Oryctolagus cuniculus: one gene and its partner. The protein of the gene in region 2 interacts with the protein of the main gene of each other region in a pairwise test. Links are inferred from orthologs where the notes say so. Each region holds a gene or a part of one and is shown on either strand. Other genes may lie near its edges.

What was found.
Region 1: the proteins of LRP2 (region 2) and MAPK8IP1 interact in a two-hybrid assay, tested with the Homo sapiens proteins (2 studies listed by BioGRID). The link is inferred for Oryctolagus cuniculus from reciprocal best matches to the Homo sapiens genes LRP2 and MAPK8IP1.

Annotation. Positions count from the first base shown.
Region 1 is NC_091432.1:20,068,104-20,071,912, forward strand, and holds part of MAPK8IP1 (C-Jun-amino-terminal kinase-interacting protein 1), read right to left. Parts: intron 3,138-3,809; coding exon 2,835-3,137; intron 1,710-2,834; coding exon 1,628-1,709; intron 1,418-1,627; coding exon 605-1,417; intron 245-604; coding exon 169-244; intron 1-168. UniProt on the Homo sapiens protein: The JNK-interacting protein (JIP) group of scaffold proteins selectively mediates JNK signaling by aggregating specific components of the MAPK cascade to form a functional JNK signaling module. Required for JNK activation in response to excitotoxic stress.
Region 2 is NC_091434.1:71,865,536-71,869,344, reverse strand, and holds part of LRP2 (low-density lipoprotein receptor-related protein 2), read right to left. Parts: intron 3,738-3,809; coding exon 2,817-3,737; intron 2,720-2,816; coding exon 2,554-2,719; intron 2,181-2,553; coding exon 2,022-2,180; intron 12-2,021; coding exon 1-11. UniProt on the Homo sapiens protein: Multiligand endocytic receptor. Acts together with CUBN to mediate endocytosis of high-density lipoproteins. Mediates receptor-mediated uptake of polybasic drugs such as aprotinin, aminoglycosides and polymyxin B.

The DNA of each region.
Region 1 (3,809 bases), on a different chromosome or scaffold from region 2:
GTCTGCGGGAGGCTTGGGCGGGCGCAGGGTGGCTTCTGTGTGTGTAGGCGCAGCCTCGGGCTCCCACGCACCACGGCCCTTTGCCACCCTGCTCTGCATGCCCAGAGGTTGAACACAGGGGCCCAGGGCAGAGTGGACGAAGCCTTGCCCCGGGCTGAGGGTGCTCACCTGAATATGGCCCGGTGCGTCTGCTCCTGCTCCACCCCGTTGATGACACAGGAGAACAGCCCGAAAGACTCTGCACCTGAGGAGGGGCAGGGGGCGGGAGGATGTGGCCCCAGCTCCGGGGGAGGGGCAGGGGGCGGGAGGATGTGGCCCCAGCTCCGGGGGAGGGGCAGGGGGTGGGAGGATGTGGCCCCAGCTCCGGGGGAGGGGCAGGGGGTGGGAGGATGTGGCCCCAGCTGGGGGGGGGCAGGGGGCGGGAGGATGTGGCCCCAGCTCCGGGGGAGGGGCAGGGGGTGGGAGGATGTGGCCCCAGCTGGGGGGGGCAGGGGGCGGGAGGATGTGGCCCCAGCTCCGGGGGAGGGGCAGGGGCAGGGGCAGGAGGATGTGGCCCCAGCTCCAGGGGAGGGGCAGGGGGAGAGCCCCGGCCAGGTCGACTCACTGGAGGAGCGGGAGCGGCCGCTCATGAAGACGTTCAGGAACTTCTTGGAGAAGTGGACGTCCTCCTCGGGGCTGGAGTCCTCCGAGAGGCAGGCCGGGGGCCGCGGCCGGGGCGCCTCCTCGTACTCCTCGCCGATGGCCGACTCGTAGGGCGACGAGGCCGAGGCGCAGTTGTCGTAGACGGTGGCGGAGTCGCTCTCGTCGCTGTAGTCGCCGAAGCACGGCCGCAGGCTCACCAGCTCCAGCTGGGCGTGCTCGTCCACCACCAGCGTGTACTTGACCGAGTCGTAGGACAGGGCGCTGGTGTCCGAGCTCAGCGAGGCCCGCGGCGGCGGCGGCGGCGGCTCCCCCAGGCTCGCCCGCCAGCCTCCCGCCGGCGGCCCGGCCCGCTCCGGGGAGGACAGGCAGTCGAAGCCCTCGTCCTCTTCGCTGATGGAGGGGTGTGGCCGGCCCAGGGTGGAGGGGTAGGCGGCGGGGTCTGGGTCGGAGCTGACCGACATGCGGCTCTCGGCCGGCGGCAGGAAGCCGGCGCTGGGCTCCGCGGGGTCTGGGGGCCTCTGCACCGGGGTCAGGTAGATCTCCTCCGTGGCCTCCAGCCGCACGTCGGCCTGGTAGTGGATGCGCTCTCGATGGGAGTGGCCCCGGCCCCCAGGGGCGGCCGTGGGGGGGGCGCCAGCAGGGGCCATCTGGGTGGCAGCGCTGCGGCGACAAGGGCTGTCGGTGGAGGTGCCTCGGTCCTTGGTGGGCGCGGGGCTGCCCTGGGGGGGCAGCTCGTCGCTCAGGCAGATGTGGTCATGGGGGGGCGTCTGCTCTCCTGCAGGGCAGGGTGGAGGTGGGGGGGCAGTGCTGAGCCGGGCTGCCTTCACCTGGGCCCCCCACCCCGGTCCCTGCTCCATGCACCAGGGCCCCGGGCAGGCTCTGGGTCCGCAGCCCAGGCCTTGGTGGACCCCCATGGGCAAGGTGGGGGCCCTGCAGGGGCGACTCGGGGCGGGCTGAGGCCCAGGTGTGGGGGGGTCTGCCTCACCTGTCTTCAGGGGTGAGGACGAGCGGGACACGCGCTCCTGCCAGCTGTGCTTTTTCCCGAGAGAGTTATTATTCAGTGTGTCCTGGGCAGCGAACAAAGGGCCCTTGTGAGAGAGGCGGTCAGCAGTGCCCGGCACAGGGAGGCCCTGGCCCTGCCCCCACAGGGCCCCCCCAGGCTGCTCGCTGCCCCCACCCTGCCCTGCAGCAGGCAGCAGGGGTGAGGGGTGGCCAGGGAAGTGTCAGCCTGGGCAAAGGTGGTGCTGGTTGGCTGCGGGGTGGGGGGTGAGGAGGGGGAGTCTGCAGCAGACTCAGGACCCCCACGTGAGATGCCCAGGGCAGTGGGGGGGCAGCGTGACTCCCATCCTGGAAGGGGCAGGGCCGGTCTGGCCCAGCCTGGGTAGAAAGCAGTGAGGTACCCTGGGAGCCTGCGGTGACACTCAGATGGCTCCGGGGCACTGTCTCCCCTGGCCCCCAGACCAGGGGCCCAGCCCGCGGGGGCGACAGGCATGGCTGGCAGCAGACCCCTTCCCGGATCTCCCGGCTGCTTGCCCACATCCGCAGCACCTCCCCAGCCCGGCCCCCACAACGCCCACATACAAGTCTCCTTCGCACCTTACACCACGAGCTGGGCTACCAGAGGATCCAGGGAGAGGGACCCCGTTTCTCTGCAGCCCCCGCCCATCCCCTGGCAGCTCCCCCTCCCTGGGTCCCCTCCTTACCTCTCCTGACTGGACCCGGGAGACAAAGGGCCTGGCCAGCGCTCCCCACCCTATTCAACTCTCCTTGGCTTCCGGCCAGCAGCCCAGGGGCCCCAGGCCCCCAGCTCAGCTGAGCAGCGCCATCCCACAGGCCTCCCCCCTGCCTCTGGGAAGTCCAGGCTGCCCACACTTCAGACGCCAGCTCCCAGGCCCCACCTCCCCCACAACTTCCCAGGCCCTCGCCCAAGCGGACCACTTCCCTCTCCCCTCTCCCCACGCCGTTTCTGCCCCACCTTCACCAGGGACCCCAGACCCTGAGGGTCCCAAACTCCACACCTCTGCCACCGCTCCAAGCCCTGTGCTCCCTACTCCAACCCCTCCCCGGGCCCCGTCAATCCCTGCGCTCCTTCGCCCTCTCCAGGGACCTCCACCCGTCCCCCGGCGCCCACCTCCCAGGAGCCGGCCCCGCCCCGGGGCGCCGCCCCCTCAGCCCCGCCCCCCGCGCCTCACCTGAGACCGCGGCACCTGCGGGAAGAGGTTGAGCGTGGTGGGCCGCTTGGGGCGGTATGTGTCCCCGCTGCCTGGGCCCTGGCTCTGGCCCTGGCCGCGGGACGCCGGTCCCTGACCGGGCTCGGCCTCGGGCGGCCCCGCTCCCGGACGCCGCGCCGCGCGCTCTTCGTCGTCCTCCTCGTCGTCCTCGGCGCCGGGAGTGTCCCCGGTCGCGTCGATCAGATCCATCTGCAGCATCTCGGCCTGCAGCCGGCTCCCCGCGCTGCCGCCGCCGCCCGCAGAGAGCAGCCCGGCGCGCGGGGGCTGCGCGGCGCGGACGGAGGGGCGTCAGGGGGCGGGGCCGCGCCGGGTGGGGCGGGGCCGAGGCCGCCGCGCACCGCCCCCTGCCCGGACGAATCCATTGCGCGGCCACGAAGCGGGGGGCGGAGAGCAGCGGCAGGGAAGAGAGGGGGCTCCGGGCCGCCCCTGCGGGAAGCGCACGGCCGCCCCTCCCCGCCCGATCGCCCCCTTTGCAGAACACCACCCTCTCCCCTCCCCGCGGACCCCCCTTCCGGCTCCTTGCACCCTCCCGTTCCCTTGGCAACGGCCGATGACCTCACCCGGGCTGTAAGCAGCTCCCAGAATGAAGTCACCGCTGTTGCCATGGAGACGTGGGGTCGCCCGAGGAGCTGGGCCCCCGCAAGAGATTGGGGAGAAGGGGGCGCACATTTGTATCTGAAGAAGTCTAGGAGGGACCCTGGGAAAACCGAGTCTCTGGCCAGGAGAGGAGGGCCGTACTGCGGACTGGAGTCCCTGGGAGCGCCGGAAGAGGGTCGCCGAGGCGGGGGACAGGGGCGGTCGGACCCCAGGGGCCCAGGCCTCTCCATGGGCAAGCTAGCCCTGCCTTCCTAGGGGACAGCCCCTCCCAGTTCCAGCTCTGCCACTGCCTGCCTGGCACCTTGGACAGATCCCCTGACCCTTCCATTCCTGGCAAGC
Region 2 (3,809 bases):
CAATCTTCCGCCTAAAATAAAGTCGGGGAAAAAATGCTGAAATCCACAAAGAATTAATTTTCTCAACTGGAAGCCTAACTTCTGGGCCTAAATACTGTTTCAAACAAGCCTCCATCTTCCTTCCTTCCTGCCTGCCTTCCTTCCTTCCTTCCATCTTTCCTCCCTCCCTCCCTTTCTCTCTCTCTCTCTCTCTCTCTCTAAGATTTTATTTATGTATTTGAGAGAGAGAGAGGTCTTACAGCCACTGGTTCACTCCCCAGATGGCTGCAATGGCTGGAGCTGGGCCGATTTGAAGTCAGGTGCCAGGAGCTTCTTCTAGGTCTCCTATGTGAATGAAGGGTCAAGCACTTGGGCCATCTTCCACTGCTCTTGGGCCACAGGCAGGGAGCTGGATCAGAAGAGGAGCAGCAGGGACATGAACTGGTGCCCATACAGGATGCCGGCACCACAGGCAGAGGCTTGGCCTACCACACAGCACTGGCCCCAAGCCTCCATCTTTCTTTCCAAGTGGGGCACTTAGTAGTTAGGATGTATCTTCTATTGATAAGAAGTCTTATGTGCTTATCAAACAAGGACCTACCAAAATTGTTGACTTTCAAATATCAATACAACCTTTTCAATTTGATATTTACTGCTTATTTTGAGGTGTTGACCTAGAATGATCCAATTTAGGATGACAAAACACTGCTGCTTGGTTTCAAATGAGAAAGTGAAGAAAATATCAGGATGCTAGGTACTTGGCATCACAAAGACCAAATCATCAAGAAGTCAGCAAGAAGAGATGACTGACATGTAGACACCAGCCACAATAAATGAAATAATTTCATCCTTTCAACTATTGCTTTAGGATGACTGCATTGTTAGGCATTTGGGGGTTTCAGAGAAGTTACATACAAAGTTCGTATTGACAGAAATGTATAAGGCAAAAATTATGAGATTTGCTGAGAAGAAGCTTGCTAGAGAAGAAAAGTCTGTTTGAGAAGATGCTCAAAAGTCAAAGATTAAAGATAAATATTTTAGAAAGATACTAAATACTAAAGCCCAGGGGGAAAAAATCAGTATTAATATGCACTTAAAAGTTATTCATAATGCAGGCATTTATCCTAACATTGAAGACATGGGCTAGAGTACCTATGTCCCATATCAGAGTACCTGGACTTGATTCCCAATTCTGGCTCCTGATTCTAGCTTCCTGTTAATGCACACCCTGGGAAGCAGCAGCGATGACTCAGTAGTTGGTCCTGGGAATTGAACTCCTGGATCCAGTTTCGGCCCAACTCAGACCCAACCATTGCAGGCATTTGCGGAGTAAACTAGCAGATGGTGGAGCCTTGTCTCTCTAATAAATAGGAATGTTTTAAAAATTTGAGGGCCAACATTACGGAACAGTGAGCTAAGCTGCCATCTGCAATGCCAACACTCCATATTAGAGCACCACTTTGAGTCTCAGCTGCTCCGCTGCTGATCTAGCTCCCCGCTAATGTACCAGGGAAGGCAGCAGAGGATGGCCCAGGAACTTAGGCCCCTGACATCCATGTGGGAGACCGAGATGGAGCTCCATGTTCCTTATTCAGCCAGGAACAGACCCAGTCATTGCAGCCATCTGGGGAGTGAACCAGCAGATAGAAAATCGATTTCTCTTTCTCTTTGTCTCTCTCTCCCTCCCTCTCTCTCCATATCTAGAAACAATTGAAGTGATTCACATTTTATACTAGTTGCCTACAGTCTGTTGACTATAAATTGAGCAATTATATTTCTAATTACAGTTGAAAACACAGGTGTATTAGCAATGCATCTTTAAATTTTTTTAGTTCATAATTATTCAATCTCAAGATACAGTTAAAGTTTCACATATATAGTCAATAAGCTAGAATACATAGTTCCTAATACTGTGATTCTACATTTGGCAACATCTCTCTGGCATGTTATATTTTCATCAAATTATGCAAATCCCTCTTCTTTGTAAGTGGAGGAAGGAGCTCTTCTTAGCAACACCCACATGAGTAACAAAAGACACATACAGGCTAGCATCCGCCCAGTAGAGAAGGTCCGTCTCATAGTCCAGAGTGAGTCCATTGGGCCAAACCAGGCTAGTATTCACAATGGGTACCCGGAAGTTTCCTCCCAGTGTGGCTCTCTCGATTTTGGCATTCGTACCCCAGTCAGTCCAATACATGTACCTAGTCATCCAAAAGGAATCATAAGTAATTCATCATAAGGAACTTCACAGTCCTTTTTACTTAAACAAATGGCAGCACTCTTTAATTGCTAGTTGACACTAATATGGCAAAAGAAACTCTACTACATTCCTACCCACAAAACTTGCTCTAAATGGATTTGCCCAGTCAGAACACTGATTACTTAGCATCTTTTTATCATCAAAAGGAATTACTCACCACACCCTCTTTCCCAGTTAAAATCACTCAATGGGATTTCCAAGCAATGAATCATATATAAGTCAATAATATGCTGGCTGCCTCTGGACATAAAATATTTCAGGACTTACTCCATAAATAAGCAGATAGAAATGCAATAAAGAAGATCATAGCATACCCTCGGCAGGGATCTAACACAATTGCTCTTGGTTTTGAAACACGGGCTATTAGGGTGCGCTTGGATCCATCTTCAGCCATGGAATTAATCGTCTGGTTGGAGAAGTCACTGTAGTAAATTCTCCTGTTGATCCAGTCAAAGGCAATACCATCAGGGGTCCCTATATCTGGACGAGCACCAGCAAACACACACACAAAGATGTTAGAGTCTTAATATGCATAAGAAACATACCATCATTTGTGTGTGAACCTGGGGTCACTTACCTGAAGCAATGACAGTTGGAGAATGGTTCCCTGAATACAAGCTGACATAGGAAATCTGGCCAGGTCCAGAGACTACTTGTTGTGTGAGGTAGATTCTATTATTTATGTTGTCATAGTCCACAGCTATGGCATTTCTTTCCACATCTATTGCTTGGAAAGGTGGGCTGTGATTTTCAGGGTCCAAATGTAAACTTCTCAAGGAATTATCCAAGGCAAAGATGAGGAAATTTTCTGTTGAAATTGCACAGTTCTTGCCATCACTTTCCAAAGTTCCAAAGGCACAGCCACATTTTGGAGTGTTCGAACCAGGCAAAGCGAAGCAAAGATGGGAGCACCCACCATTATTCTCCAAGCAAGGGTTGTTGTTGACTTCTGATGGCGACCGGGGCTGGACAGTCTCATCAAAGATGGTCACATCTCTTAGCCAGTTGATATTGTCTCTTATCACTGTTGGAGGCTCTGTGTTTGCTGGTTCCTTGCTAGCTTGGAAGACTTTTTTCAAATTCCTATCTACCCATATGATAGAATTTTGAAAAACAGTGATGCCATAGGGAGTTGGGTAACGACTGCCGTAACGAACCACTTCTGATCCGCCACCATTAGGATGGATCCTTGCTATGATATCTAAAGAATCATCAACCCAATAAATATAGCCATTGCTACGGTCCACTGCCAAGCCCCGTGGTGTGACAATGCCATCTGATACAAGCACAGTTCGATTGGTACAGTCAAGAAGAGAACGTTCAATCTTTGGTTTCTGTCCATAGTCAGCCCAGAAGAGGTATCTGTTCTTGGGGTCTACAACTATATGCCGAGGCATATCCACTGTGACTTTAAGGAGAACACGGCGATAGGTGGTATTGATCCGAAGAACTTCTATGAGTGTTTCAGACACAAAGGCATTGGTGAAATAAAGATTTCCTACAGGAAAGTGAAAGAGCATACTGATGAGTGGAAAAGCAAGAAGAAGAAAGGGGATATCCTTTAAATTCA